2 linked regions of the Tamandua tetradactyla genome follow. The protein of the gene in region 1 binds, or shares a complex with, the protein of each later gene. Links are inferred from orthologs where the notes say so. Each region holds a gene or a part of one and is shown on either strand. Other genes may lie near its edges.

Region 1 (8,042 bases):
CTGTTCAAGTCGTTGTATGCCTCAAGTGCATTTTAATTTCTTCTTTCATCCCCACAACCTGTTTCTTTTTATACTCAAATTCTTTATGCTCATACATTGTCTTCTTAATATCTTCTCTTTCTTTAGTCATATTTTCCTTCATCTCCTTGAACTGATTTAGGAGATCTGTTTGAACATCTTTGATTAGTTGTCCCAAGTTTTGTGTCTCTTCTGGAGTTTTAAGTTGTTCTCTTGACTGCTTCTTATCTTCCTGCTTCTTAATATGACTTGTAATTTTTTCTGTAGTACAGGAACTGATTATCTTGTTGTGTTTACTCTGAAGGTCAGTTTTTTTTTTTTTTTGTTTTTGGCCTAGGGTTTTATTGTTGGTTGGCTTTGTATTAAGTTCAACTTCTTTGATGCTTAGTTCAACTTATTCTAGACTTTTAACATAGCCTGTATTTAACTGGTCATATTTTTTTTTCAGCTCTTCATCTGATTCTTGTTCTGTATATGTGGCACAATTTTTAAGATTGCATTTTTTGTGCAGTTGTTTTACCTCTAGGAGAAAGCTTCCTTTCCTCTGCTCCTTCTCTGGGGTCTTCTTCTGTTCTGTTTTTGTTTTGCCTCTATAGTTTTTTAAACTCCTTTCATTGTCTCTAGCTGCTTTTGCCTGGAGGGCAAATTCTGGGAGGAGAGTTACCCCAGAGAGGAATAGGGTCAGGGACCCACAAAAGGGGCACAGATGGGTCCAGAGTGCCTGGGGAGGGGATCAGAAAGGATAGCAAAATTCTTTTTGATGCCTCCCTGTCCATCAAAGAAGGGGGTAATTGAGGGAAGTCCCTAGTCCCCTCACCATGAAGTCAGCTTTCCAGTGGATTCTCAGTTAACTCTCGTAGGCAGAAAGTGTGTGCAAGTGCCTGGGAATGTGGCTCCCACCCCTTGCCACTTTTACACTCAAGTCCCTTTGCCAGAACTGTAACAGCAGTACTTTACTTCTAGTCAGAACTGGAGGCCATTCTTTAGTAGGACCGGATGGCTTATTTAGGACACTAGATCAATGATCTCAAACTCAAATGCCTGTGGCATCTGGACAAGACCTAGTAAGAGAGGACCCAGCCAGATTGGTTAGGAGAACCAATTGGTTTGGAGAACTGGGGAGTTCAAACTCAAGTAGTTTCATGTATTCTTCCTGATCTCATCACTCGTTCCACTCCAAAAAAGTCTCTGGGCCTACCCCTTCTTAGCCTTTTCATTTGACCATCCTGATACCCTGTCCCCTTCTTTGAGCTGTGACCTTTCACTCAGAGCTCACCATCATTCTTCCTCACCTTTAGTTTCAGAATTGTCTTTATCATTATGATTTTGCTGGGTTTTCTGAAAAGCAGCCGTGGATTGTGAAAAATTAATGTCAATTTTAGTATGGAAATGTTTGATTTAGTGATCTCAATGGTGTGGGGACCTGACAAAAGAGCTTGTCAAAATACTTCTACTGGAGGGTAGCAAGGCTGATACCTTGTGTAATGAGCCCTTTTGAGAGCCATCTGAGGGTCACAGAGCAGATGTGGGGAAGGGAGACAATAATCGTGAACAATCTGACATCAAGTGGTTGTGGAATCAGGTATGGTGATTCAGCTCTAACCTAAATTTAAATATTGGTGCATATTTTTCTTATATATGCAAAATAAGCATATATAAGTTTTGTATCCATTTTTTTCCTAAAAGAAAACAGGATTCTTGGCAAGCGCAAGATTCTTTCACAGTATAGTCTTTTTCTGTTAGTAAATGTCATACTGTGCTTTTTTAGTTCCTCTTCCTTCCAATATGCATAATATATATATATGGGATAAAATCCATATTCTCATTGTGTTTAGAGTGTTTTTATGTAGCCCTGTACCTTATTCTTTAATTTTAATACAGCAAATTGCTTTGGAGAATAGCCATTCTCAATCTTTTCACTTCTCCCACACAGAAGTAATGCATAAATTGACACCAGCTTTGGTTCTGAGAATTCCCTTATCTGAGGTTAGCTGAAACTGTCAGCTATTTCTTTACCACTCAAAGAGATATATAAGGAACCTTTTTAAACCAAATACAAGACCCATCTACAGACCCATTCCCAAACTTGAATATGCCCACCTAGGACCTGTCTGTATCTCCCCTCTACTCCTTGGAAATTACTGTTAAAAACCACTGCCCCTTCAAGTAGGCCAGCAGAAGAACCTGGAAACATGCCAATCTGAACTCAAATCCCACTACTTAACATTACTGTGTGAGAGTGCAAGTTTTTATAATTATTTTAAATTTCTTTTTGGTTTGCAAAGATGGTGGTACCAATCTCTCCCATCCCAGATGCTCTTCCTATCAAGACCTGGAGTATTTTTCCATTGTAACTGGTCTGGCTTTGGAATCTGATTTTATCATAAGAAGTGGCAGATGTTGCAGAATTTCTGAGGCTAGGCCTCTCTTGCTGCCCTGAGACCATCATGTGAGGATGCCTGGACCGTCTCACTGCTGGAGAATGAGAGGCCATCTGGAGAGAGAGGTTCAACTGATAGTTAGCACCAAACACCAGATGTGGGTGAGGCTACTAGGATTATCCAGCTCCAGTCAATCTGCCAAATAGTCACATGAGTGTCCCCAGGTAAGAGCAACAGAAGACTCACTATTCAACCACAGGATCATAAGATATAATTTTGTTTTAAGGCACCAGTTTGGGAAGGGGAAGTTGCTATACAGCAATAGACAACAATTTCATAGTAGTAGCTAATGGTTAATTGAATGCTTTCTCCATGCCAGACATGGCACTAGGTTTCTTAATTGCATTCTCTCATTTCATCCTTCCAGTATTGCCTGTCAAGTTGGTAATATTATCTTCATTTTACATAAGCATAAAGATGTTAATTAACACACGTAAGGTCACCCAGCACTGAGCCCATGCTTTAACTACTAGGCTATTTGCTAAACGTTTAATTCTGTTGTCCCAGACTATACTGCAACCCATCATTTTCACTTTCTATCTCCTAAGCAGCCACCATTTGACTAAATATCATACATTCAGTAGGATTTACTGCTGTCTCCTATGGACCAGAAATTGTGCTAGGGACTGAGTATAAAAGTGAATCACGGTGGTATCTTGGTATCCAAGTTAAGCTGAAAACACACATACACACTCACCCCTACCTGGAATACGGGTCAAAAACACTGAGTGCCAATACAGGGACCTCTGAGTTACTATTAAGAGCTATTTTGCCAAATACATGCTATTGCCAGGCACTCTTCTGAGCATTTAACTCTCACACCTTCTGTGGGAGGCATGTTGTTTTCTTGTGTCTGTCAACCTGTAGATGAAGAGATAAAGGCTCAGAGATGAAATGTCTTGCCCAAGGTTTCACAGCCACGAGGTGGCAGAGTCAGATCTGGAATCTAGGCCCTTCTGGCTCTTTAGCTGTTCTCTTGCCCAGAAGTCACCCTGTGTTAGAAGACATGCATCCATGCATGCATTCAAAAATATTTACTTAGCATATGCTAAGGCCAGGTAATGTTATTGGGATATAAAGCCTCCGCCCTCATGGAGCTTATCTTCTAGTGAGAAAGACAGACAATAAACCAAATAAATAAGTGTATAAAGTAACAGAGTGGTAAGTGTTGAAAGAAAAATAAAGCAGGACAAGGGAAAAGGTAGGGAAAGGCTCTCTGAGGAGGTGTGAGCAGAGACCTGAAGGAAGTGAAGACCCCAGCAATGGGAATATCTGAGGTGGGAGGGGGAGGGCAAAGCCCCTGAGACTCAAGATTTCCTTGCTGGGTTTGAGGAACAGCAGGGAGACCAGTGTGGCTGGAGCTTGATAAATGAGGGGAAAGTGGAAGGAGATGAAGTTGTAGAGCAAGGCAGCAGGATTTCATTGCACATGTACTGGGAAGTCATTTGGAAGTGGAGAGCAGGGCAATGAAATAATCTGATAGAATCCCAGTTTATCATAGAAGGATTCCTGAGGCTGCTGTGAAAGCAGAGAGACCAGTTAGGGGGGCTCATTCAGCGATCCAAGATTGATGATAATGGCTAGGGCTGTGGCGGTAGCAGTGGAGGGAGTGAGGAGAGTCAGATGCAAGACATTTCGAAGACAGAGCTCACAGGATTTGCTGATGGACTGATTATGAGGTGGGAGAGAAAGAGAGGAGTCAAAGATGCTTTCAAGTTTGTCATTTTGATTTTTTAACCTAAGCAATTGTGTGAATGGTGGTGTTGCCTCTTGTGAGATGGGAGGCATGTAAGAATTAAGAATTAGAATTCTTAATTCTAGGAAGAGAGGATAGAATTAAGAATTCAATTTTCAAAATTTTAAACTTAATATCCATATTAGGCATCCATATCAAACAAGAGGCTGGATATAAAAGACCCAAAGTTAAATGAAGGGACCAGCGTTAGAGGAATACACTTGAAAGTCATCAGTCTTGGGACTGCATGAGAGTCATTCATTCAACAACAGTTATTGAGCTCTTATTTTGTGCTAAGCAGTGCTCTAGGCACTGCCAAAGAGAACAATACACAAAGAAACCCCCTACCCTCACAGAGCTTATGTTCTAATGGGGGTGGGTAAGCTAAGTAACAAAAATATATAGTATGTTAGATGGCAATAAATGCTAAGGAGAAAAATAAGGCAGAGGTGATGGGTGGAAAGGTATTTTTAAACAGGTTGGCCCAGGAAGTCCTTACTGACAAAATTTTCTTTGAGCTTAAGCGTGAAGGATGTTTGGGCATGTGCTGACGTACATGCCCCCTACTAGGCCTGTGGGATGAGCATCCCTGGCAGCCGCAACAGCAAATGTAAAGGCAAGAGAACGTGAAGCAAATTCACGGAAAAGGCAGAGAAGGTGTGTCTGGAGAAGGGAGAGGTAGGAAGAATCTATTACGTAAAGAGAAGGGGAAGGCAGATCGAACAGGAACTTCTCAAAGGTTCTCCGAGAAGTCCAAAGCTTGAAGCCCCGCCCCCGTCCGGAACGCGCGGCGCAGCACGGGAGCCGGAACTCAGCCACCTGGTACCGGGACCGGAAGTGCATTTCTACCCGGCCGCATTTTAGTAACGGCTCCATTTCCTGTAGCGGCGGCGGGAATCGGATCGCTGTCGGGCGTCTAGGCCTCTGCAGAGGCCAATCCGGCGGGAATCGGGACCATCGGGAACCGCCACCATGGTGAGGGGGCGCGGGCCGGCGGCGCGAGAGTCTCCGAGTCTGTATTGGAGTGAGGGCCGCGGCTGCGCGGGGGGAAGAAGTCATGGGTTGGATCTGCTAATGGCGGTGAAGGCCCGAGCCGCGGCCGCTGGGACCGGGTAGAGGCGACCTGGAGCCTGCAGTTCGGCGTGGTGGGGAGTGGAAAGTTGGAACCCAGGAATGCAGGGTGGGGGGGAGCGTGTAACCGCTTCTCCCGAAACCGCTATAGCTACAGTGCCTGGGACTTGGTAGCCACTAAGTAAACTTGCTGCATAAGTATATGTCCGGGCTTTCGGCGCCGGCACCAGGAGCCGGAGGTGGGCCAGGGAGGACCGCGGAAAAGGCTCAGACTTGTGAAAGAGGGTGAGGGGCGGAGACCGAGTTGCGGCGTCCGGTGTGGGGTAGGGCGGGGAGTTGTGGCCCGAAACAAAAGATACTTCCCGGGAGACGTGGATGGGGAAGAGGGAACGGGAGAGTGAATGAGATTATTTGGAGGAGTTCAACTCACTTATTTAGTATATCTGTACTGAGTGTCTGACTTCTCAGGTTCTGGGGCTACAAATTGAAATGTGTCACCGAGTTCGCATATCCTTGGGGACACGGATAATAAATAATCATAACACAGTGTAACTAGTTCAGCGTTAGGCAAAAGTAACGGCGCAGGTTGATGCGGGGTAAGAATGCTTTCGGGAATGGATGATTCCTGAGCAGAGTCCTAAAAGATTTGTCAGAATCTTTTCCAGCAGAAGATGGAAGGAAATACTATATAGACTGGGAATTGCAAGAGCAAAGGCATGTAGGGTAGCATAGTTAAAAGTTACTGGGGGTTGGGGCGGGGCGGGAGAGGGGAGGAGGAAAAGGAAGGAAGAGGTAGAAGATGAGACTGGAGGACGTGGAAGGAGCCTGGTTACTAAAGGCCTTCGTGCTGCTTTATTCTGTTGGTGATGGGCATGTCATTGAAGGATTTTAACTAGCAAAATGACTAGACTCTGTGTTTAGAAAGATTACTCTAGCTGTTTTGTATTGGGTGAGATTTGGAAGCAGGGAAACCTGCTCGGTTACTGTTTGGAGAGTTGGTTAAATGAATAATCACTGGATTCAGGCCGACTGGGTTCTAACAGCTTCCCAGCTGTGAGACAAGGCAAGTTACCATAACCTCTCCTAGCCTCGATGGCCTCATCTGTAAAGTAGAAACAATAAGGGGATCATTTTGAGGATTAAATAAATTGACAGATATTTAGTGCTTATCAAGCATGTAATACACAGTGAACACCCAATAAGAATTAACTGTTAGAAGGCTGGTGAATGTTTCCATAAAGGTTTAGCTCCTTGTGATTAGAACCAGTTGAAAAGGTTATGTATGGGAGACAGACCCATATAACCAGGGGTCTCCCAGGTGGCACAGTACCTTGGTGGAGTCAAGGCTCTGAACCATGCATTTGTAAGAAGGTTCAGGACGTTGTCCTGGTGTGGGTTCAGGTAAACAGCAAGCACAGTGCCCACGACAAGAAGACACCCAATAAATAGGATGACTTCAGACTTGCCCCACATCAGACTGATGGGAGACAGATACCCAGATCAAATACCAGGTCATTTGTTTCTTGAAAGAAATCTGGAGGTCACGTTAAAAAGCAGAAATTTGTTGGGTTAATTTAGAAATAAAGTGTAGCAAGTTACATATTCTCAAAGGTCATTATGTGCTCAAATAGATTAGTGCTTTGGCTACCAGAAAATTTCCCTCTCTCAGAAGCACTTGGGGATTTCATACTCCTAACCTCCACGCTGATGAACTCCTTAGTGATAAGTTTCTTGTTGATTGGATTTCAGCCTTTTTATCACCAGTCCTATTCCAACTCTTTACTCTTTTTTTTTTTTTTTCTGGATGGGCAGGTTCCAGGAATTGCACCCGTGCCTCTAGCATGGTAGGCAAGAATTCTGCCACTGAGCCACTGTTACACTGCCCTCTCTGTCTTTTTAATCATATGGGTGTTCCATAGCACTTGGGTCAAGTCTATAATCTGCACAGTGGCAGATTATTAATCTCATGATGAGTAGATTTGATTGGTTTGGGCAATCCTGTACTCTAACTCCTGAAACTCTGATAACAATAATGCAGTATGAGAAAGATTAACTTTGAGGGGAGAATAGCAAAGCAGTGGGCATAGGTCAGGGCTGAAAACGGGGGTAAGATGGGAGAATTCAGGGAAAGGTCTATGAGTAGCTGGCAGCTGAGAATCTATTGAGAAACATAGGTGCATAGAAAAGAAGGCCTGACCCAGCTTCAGGAAGGACCAGGACCAAATGGGTGGAAAAGAGCTTGAATCTCATCCCCATTGATTTCTCCCTGCAGACTGTGGGCAAGAGCAGCAAGATGCTGCAGCACATCGACTACAGGATGAGGTGCATCCTACAAGATGGCCGCATCTTCATTGGCACCTTCAAGGCTTTTGACAAGCATATGAACTTGATTCTCTGTGACTGTGATGAGTTCAGGAAGATCAAGTAAGGAGGGGGCTGTGGGGCAGGGGGAGGTTGAGGCGGAGGACATTGGATGGGTGGGCCAAGTGACAGGTGCTGCTATAACTTGCCAGTTCCTCTCTTCCTGCGTTCACATTTTAGAGGGCAGACTTAAATGGGGTTATTGGACACTAAGAAATCTCCTTCCTTAGCGCCCAGCAAGCCTGAGTTCTAGTCTAGCAAAATAAAAGTTGTGAGGAGGGCTGCTAGGTTTTTGTTTCTCTGACCTTGTATGCCCCTGAGTACTGGGGTAAAGGGCTGTCGTGTTCTCCCTACAGGTGTGTAAGGGGGGAGAGCTTGATTTTCTGGCCTCATTGCCTATTTGTAAAGCTGTAGCC
Region 2 (7,512 bases), on another chromosome or scaffold:
GCTAATGATTACTTCCAGCATAAAATTTGATTCCTTTAAAAGAACATGATGATACCATTCCCTCACCACACCACCACAGTGTCAGGTACCATAGTAAACATTTAACATCTTAATCCTCACAACCATCCTCTAAGGTAGATATTATCCTCATTTTTTGAAATAAGAAAATTGATTCTCCAAGTTTTGGAGTTAACTTGGAAGTTAAATTATCCAAGGTCACAATAGAGTCGGGGTTGAAATCCAGCTCACTCTATCTTCTGCAACCCAATGTTTATTCAAATATATTACCCTGCTGTCATCAATTGTCCACCAAACCTCCAATTCATGTCATTTCCAACTTGGTTTTTCTCATGGAGTATCTTAACCTAACTTAATCATTAAAGCCTTCAAACTTTAACACTAGCCCTTCTATTTCTAAACCACCAAAATGAATTCTTGCATTCCTCAAAACAAACTTTAAAAAAAAATCATATCTTACAAAAAAAAAAAAACTCCCTTGACAAACTCCTTCTGGGTCCATCATTCCATCCATCCCATCATGTGAAAGAGCACTCATATCCTATTAACCGTGTAGCCTTCATTAAGTCACAAAATTTATTTGCATTCATGAGGAAAATGAAAGTCTTGGAATTCAAAGGTTGTAAACAGCCTGCCCGCAGAAAAGTTAATTTGGGCAACGGCATTTTGTCTTAATCCAATTCAATATCTTTAAATGAGGCATGAACTCTACTGACTGCCACAGGCCCTGCCATTCCCCTCATTTTACATCGACCACTTCTCCTAGTTCACTCATTTCTATTACCTATTTGGCCCCTTGTATGCAATTAAATTTCTAATCATTGAATTACAAGATCTCAAAGATTTTACATTGTTATCATGGGCATTATTAATACCTTTTCCACTTAGTTTTCGTATGGACATAACCTGTCCTTTCCATTAGGAAGTTCAGAATGGGCATTCATTAAATTCTATAACTTCAAACTGGAAAGGGCCTTAGAGATTATCCTAGCAAAATCCAACACTATTCCATATGTGAGATAGATGAAAAGACTGAAGCCAAAACTGCTTAAGTTACTCGCTCACTGTTTCCAGTGTAAGTTGGTGTGGGATAATTCAAATCCACAAATATTAACAAAGTAGTTTGAGCAAGACCCTGAGCTGGAGCTACAAACAGAAGCAAAAGTATCCCTACCACTTCAGGATACACAAGCTAGTAAAGGATACAAATATATATATATATGAAGCCATGATCCGAGGCACACATGCTAAGAGGAAGGAGAAAATTTCAGTTTTAGTGAAATCTGGGAAGACGGCCCTGAAGGGAGAAACATTTGAACAGGGGCTTGAATAATGAGTTGGACTGGAGTTATAAATAGGGAAATCACAGCACAAAAAAATGGCAAGAAGCAAGAAATGCACAGTATATTCAGAACAGGTAAATCAATATGGTTGTGAAGTAGCATAGGAAAACTGCAAGTCCCTTCCTATCCAGTTCTGAAAGAGTTAACAGATAACTGGAGGGCCCTGTTTACTATCCAGCTCTTAAAAAGAATTAATAAACAACTGAAGTCCCTTGTTTCTTATCTAGCTCCAAAGGAATTAATGCAAACCGCAAACTTCAGTTGTAAACTTCATGGAACAAATACTTCCCCTAAAGCCCCCAAACCATCAAAACCTCCCCAAACCATAAAAGTTTGTAAAATAATGAGCCCCAAACAACCTCTTCGTTAATAACAGAAAACCTGGAATTGTAAAGATCAGCCCAAAAACAAATTTTGGATACACGACGGGTTGGTCACAAGCATCAATAGTCATCTCTTCCTGAAACAATGTTAGCCCTATAAGCACCTGGTTAATATAAACCTTGTAGAAACTGTGCAAAGAAGACATCTGGTATTCAAAGGTTACTATGGAAACCTGCCACCAGTAACACTTTCCTACAAAACAAGCTAACCCACTTCACTCACTGCATGTTTCTCCCTTGAACACATCCACATTATCTCTTTAATGTGTACTCTTTCACTTTCTTTAATAAACTTTACTACTCATTCCTACTGGCCCTCTCTTCTCCAAATTATTTTAATTTCGAGACTAACAAACTGGAACAGGGCTCAGTTGGCACTATTGCCAGCAGGGTATCGGTTACAGTTGGGGGTGGAGCCAGAGAAGGTAATGTAAGAAAGCAAACTGCAGACAAATTCTAAGAGCCAGTGCTTTCCATTTTCTTCTTTAGCCCACGTCTTCAATCCCCTGATCCAAGAAGCTAAGACAGGGCTAAATATAACGGGAACTCAATAATAACGTATGACCATAAAAATAATAATGACAGCCAAGATTTAGTACCTGCCCTACATTGTACTAAACACTTCATATATATTATCTCATTTAAGATTCATTAATCTCACATTACATAAGAAATAGCTCAAGCTTAGAAAGGATAAGGAGTTTTTTTTCAAAATCACATAGTCAACAAGTGGATTCACACCCAACCACACACCAAAGAGATCTGAGGAGACTATCCATAAAGACCAGAGTTCAGAAAAGATATCACAATTGTTCTTGGTTAATGGGTAATAGTGATTTGCACAAGATATGCACCTTGGTGGCGGAAAAATGGAGTAACAAAGCAGCGACTCTGGCCGTCTTGTTCGTCTCTGCACCCTAGAGTCTAAAGCAAACCTTGACACACAGGCTTTCAGTAATTGGGAGACTAGTAAAGAGGCCTTGTAACCTTTTGTAACCTCGAGACGAGAGACCTACCCCAAGGCCAGCTTCCCCCGGCTCCTCAGATTCAGCATCCATAACGTACCTGCAACATAAACACAAGTCGTCAATTCAGACTCCTACCTCCACTCCCTTCTTCCGTCCTGTAATTACTAAAAAATCCTCACCTAACTGTTCCATTATGGCCGCCGCCATCTTCCCCCTCCTACGGAAGCCTCCGAGTTCATACACCGGCGGGAAATGACGCATGCGCAATACCCCGGATTTCCTACCCATCCTAGACCCAACAGTTGCTAGTACCAGCCGCGTTGTCATGGAGACTGGGAACACCCGTCTGGCACTTAACCTGTGGTTAGGCCAGCATGCTTGGGAACGAATGACTTAATAAAGGCCGAAAAGTACTGAGTTTCCGGAAACTCACCGGGATTCAGAAAAACTGCGAAGCCTCACCTCACAAATGGTCTGAAAGGATTAGGGAAACAAGTCCATAAACAAGCCGCATAACCCGATGGGCCTCAGTTTACACGACAATAAAATACAGATAGAAATAACTGTCGCTACACCCCAGGTTTGCTTTAAAGATCGCTAGAGATCAGGTGAAAGCTCTTTCAAAGAAGACACTGTTCAAATACAAAGTATGAAGGCCTAATAGCTACTAATCTCCAGGATCATCTCCAAGAGATGTTAATATTCACCTGACACTTACTACCATATACATCCCACCAGTTATTGTACTAACTAAATCTCATTTATTCTTCAAAGAAATCCAGAGATACACGGATTATGTTCCTTCGGATGGGAAAATATTTTCGATAAATTAACCTTTCAGCTAAAAACTGGCAAAAACAGAGGTCAATTTAGGGCTGGGTGCCTCCATAGTTGATGCCCCTACCTACTATCTATGCTTGTCCTCTATTAACGATAGGTATTTCAGGTTTCGGTTTGATATATATGCATGAGTGCTAGATCCAAACAAGCCATATAGGAGTGGGTGAGTGTTAAGTACAGAATCTGCATGTTTTGAGTTGAAAGAAAACTTCTATTCCTTTTCCTCCACAATAACTTACCACTTACAGTTCCCTTCTAACTTGGCACTCAATCAAGTAAATAAAAAGAATCAATCTATTCTTGCTTCTCTTTAATCTTTGAGTACTAAGAACCCAGAGTCAGAATTTCTACCCAGTTATCGAAACGGTTCCTTCATCCTTTTATGTTTTGCTAATTGGTCTCTTAACAATCTTTATATAAAGAGCCTCCAAAGCTAGCCAAGTGGCCTCATATTGAGCGATCAAAAAATATTTAAAGCGAGAATGAGAATGGTGATTGAACAGGTTCGAAGAATAAATCAGCAGTGTGGGGATGTGACTCCATCAGTTTAATCCCTTAATTATGTATCTTTGCTGTGAGAAGAGAGAACGCCTAACCCCGGGTACGGAAGCAGGCAGCAGTAGCCCCTCAGTCCCTGGGAGGGGTGACCCTCAGAAGGCAGACTAGGTTAAGTTGGCAGATCACAGCGGGCGTAGCCCCGCCCTTCGCAGCCCTTAGGCGGAGGCGGGAGCGTAGCGAGTGGTGTGATGTGGACCTAGGAGCGCGCCGTAGGGACGAGACTGAGGAGGCGGGGCTCCAAGCCCGCTCCGCCTCCCTTCCGGGCTACGGCGTGGGACTGCAGACAGCTTCGGCGGCTGCTCCTTCAGTCCCGGCGGCCTCCGGTCATGGGGCAGGAGCCGCGGACTCTGCCGCCTTCTCCCAACTGGTACTGCGCCCGCTGCAGCGATGCTGTGCCCGGGGGCCTTTTTGGCTTCGCGGCGCGCACCTCAGTCTTTCTGGTCCGCGTGGGCCAGGGCACTTGCCCTGGGACGCCCCCATTTCGAGGTAATCCCTTCCCCGGGGCCCGGGCCTTCCTCTTCCTGCGCTCCTCCGGGACGCCGAGTGGGCATCCAGACACCCATTTTCCTAGAGGTAGGCCGAGACAGGGGAAGCAGTTTAACCACGATCACTCAGCCGAGTCGCGTCCAGGTGTCCAAGATAGAACTGTGGTCAACAGGTCCCGACTGCTGGCCCTTGCACGTGGGACCGCTCGCTTACTTAGAGTTTAGCCCTATATGGTCCCAGGCTTTTATAACATTTGTGGCGTCTCTTCCCTAGTGTATGCGCAGGTCCCCTAGAAGATTTCTGGGGTATGGGGGTCTGCCTCCAGCTGTAGGGCCTAAATAAGAACATGCAACTGTGTGATCTTCGTTTCTGTAAAATGAATAGGTTGAAACAGATGCTTTCAGCTTCCAAACTAGGTCTTAATTGTGCCTTGGGATATGACATGCCACATACTTAGTTTATTCCAAACGATCTCTGATCAGATCAAAATAAGAATCACTTTCACATTTTTCGTTTGAAGGTGCTCCTTAGCTTCTGAATTAGACATAGCAAAGGATATCAGCATCATATTATAGTTGAGAAGACTGATGCTCAGAGAGAGAAAATGACTCGTCTAAAGTCACATGGCCGAGCCAGTGCCAGAACTTGGGGTTTTTGATTGGGTCTGTACATCTTTTTGTTATACCGTGAAATAACTAACTCCATAGCATCTGCTTGCCCACCAACCAGTATGATTCTACCTGGAATCCTGGGTAGAAGCTTTAATTAATCTGGCATTTGGTTTTGCTTAAAGTTATAGGGGAGTTGGTGGGACACACCGAAAGAGTCTCTGGCTTCACGTTTTCTCATCACCCTGGTCAATACAGCCTCTGTGCCACCAGCTCCGACGATGGGACTGTGAAAATCTGGAATGTAGAGACAAAAACAGTTGTGGCAGAACATGCAGTCCATCAGGTAACATGGCTTAATGTTTTCTCAGATCACTTTTATATTTGTGCTGGGAGTTCTTTTGCTTCAGCTATACATTTGCTAGCTCATCTGTGCAAGGTAGCTTCTATAATTGCATCTATTAATTAGATTAGAAGCAGTATATTTAAAAAGGAAAAAAAAACAGTATATTGTAATGTATCTCAAAACTATTTTGAAAGGAGCTGCATATAAACCAGAGGTTGGCAGGCTACCCTGTTGCCTGTTTTTGCTAATAGTTTAGCAATTAGGGCATGGCCACACTCATTCATTTAAGCATTATCTGTAGCTGCTTCCATGTACGGCAGAGGAGACACAAAGCCTAAAATATTTATCTGGTCTTTTAGAGAAAAGTTTGTTTACCCCTTATATAGTTCATTGATGAATCAAGAAAATTCATTTCTAAACAAGATGATTGGTGTACCTGCCTTTTGAGAAAACAAAGGAAAGGAAAAGACTTGCTTAATCTTAGTACAAATTTTGCACAAAAGCTATTAAAGGAAGAAATGGGTCTTTTGAAAAAATGATTCTTCCCTAAAAGCCTACATTTTTCTATTATTTGTTAATAAATCTTGCTCTACAACTAGTACTAACAAGTATTGTTGAGTATCTATAATGTGTTAGCATTGTGATGATGTTTAGTAAGGGTTAAAAACTCAGCATTGGCAAAAGGGAAACAAAGACATTTTTGTTTGTTTTAAAGCATACGATATCAGCCTTGCATTGGTCTCCTCGAGTAAAGGACTTAATAGTATCTGGGGATGAAAAAGGAGTAGTTATCTGTTACTGGCTTAACAGAAATGACAGCCAGCACCTCTTTATAGAGCCCAGGACAATTTTCTGCCTTACTTGTTCACCTCATCAGGAAGATTTAGTAGCCATTGGGTGAGTATTGTGCCATTTATATTGATGGTTTATTTTTGTTTATGATCATATTTTACCTTTGCTTTACTTCCTCCCATCCGTTTATTCCTCAAAGGAGCCTGTTTGCAAGTGCTTACTGTCGTCCCCCCCACCAAGCCCTTGGCATCATTTCCTGTGACTTCCAGATCCTTATTGTCTGTCCCACTCCCTCTCTTTGTTTGTTTCCTTAGTTTCCCTGATACTGTACTTTCCTCATTCTTCTTCATATCTCATTCCTCCTGTGAATTTCTAAATGTCTTTTTTGAACTTTTACACTCTCTACCCTTGCCCTTGGATATAACATTTACTCTCTGAGCATCAGATGACTTAAGATCTGACTCTCTGGTGATTAGCTCTTCCTCTAGATTGGAAAAATGATCCCATCATTGGGACTTGTTATTAAGTTTGTTTCAGGTGAGCTGCCTGAGTAGGCATCTCCCTTTCCCTCAACATACTGTGACCATCTCTCCCAAAGATGTCTACTCCGATGAGTAAAACATATGGATAAAAGATAAATAAATAATAGGGGAAACATGTTAAAATAAATTTAGTAGATTGAAATGAAAGTGATCAGTGAAAGGGAGGCATAACGGGTATGATATGTATGAATGTTTTTCTTTTTCCTTTTTATATCTTTTTCTGAATTGATGCAAATGTTCTAAGAAATGCTCATGATGATGAATATACAACTATGTGATGATATTGTGAGTTATGGATTATGTATCAAGAATGAAATGATCATATGGTAAGAATGTTCGTGTTTGTATGTTATATTTAAAAAATAAATTGATTAAAAAGAGACGCCTGTTCCTCTAGTTTGAAAGCAACGTGAGTAATTTCACTAAAATGTTGGAGGGGAAAGTCTGATTGAAGTCGGTTCAAAACACCGGGGGTAGAGATGCACGTGGAGACAACTTTTTCACAGTATTTACTGTAAAAAATGTTCAGCATGAAGCCAGAGGAGGGGGCCAGGGGTCTAACTGGAAGACGACAGTGGCATCTTTTTTATCCTGGTGGAGGTTAATCAGAAGAGAGAATGATTATGCA

Evidence for each region. Proteins that work in one complex are often made in the same cells at the same time.
Region 2: SNRPB (region 1) and GEMIN5 share a complex: the UniProt entries of both Homo sapiens proteins name them as parts of the SMN-Sm complex. The link is inferred for Tamandua tetradactyla from reciprocal best matches to the Homo sapiens genes SNRPB and GEMIN5.

The regions. Positions count from the first base shown.
Region 1 is NC_135327.1:24,251,602-24,259,643, reverse strand, and holds the start of SNRPB (small nuclear ribonucleoprotein-associated proteins B and B'), read left to right. Parts: upstream 1-5,026; 5' UTR 5,027-5,166; coding exon 5,167-5,169; intron 5,170-7,537; coding exon 7,538-7,689; intron 7,690-8,042. UniProt on the Homo sapiens protein: Plays a role in pre-mRNA splicing as a core component of the spliceosomal U1, U2, U4 and U5 small nuclear ribonucleoproteins (snRNPs), the building blocks of the spliceosome.
Region 2 is NC_135346.1:35,940,665-35,948,176, reverse strand, and holds the start of GEMIN5 (gem-associated protein 5), read left to right. Parts: upstream 1-4,288; 5' UTR 4,289-4,436; coding exon 4,437-4,596; intron 4,597-5,389; coding exon 5,390-5,550; intron 5,551-6,265; coding exon 6,266-6,447; intron 6,448-7,512. Other genes in the region: MRPL22 (large ribosomal subunit protein uL22m), read right to left, coding at 2,761-2,809, 2,892-2,973. UniProt on the Homo sapiens protein: The SMN complex catalyzes the assembly of small nuclear ribonucleoproteins (snRNPs), the building blocks of the spliceosome, and thereby plays an important role in the splicing of cellular pre-mRNAs.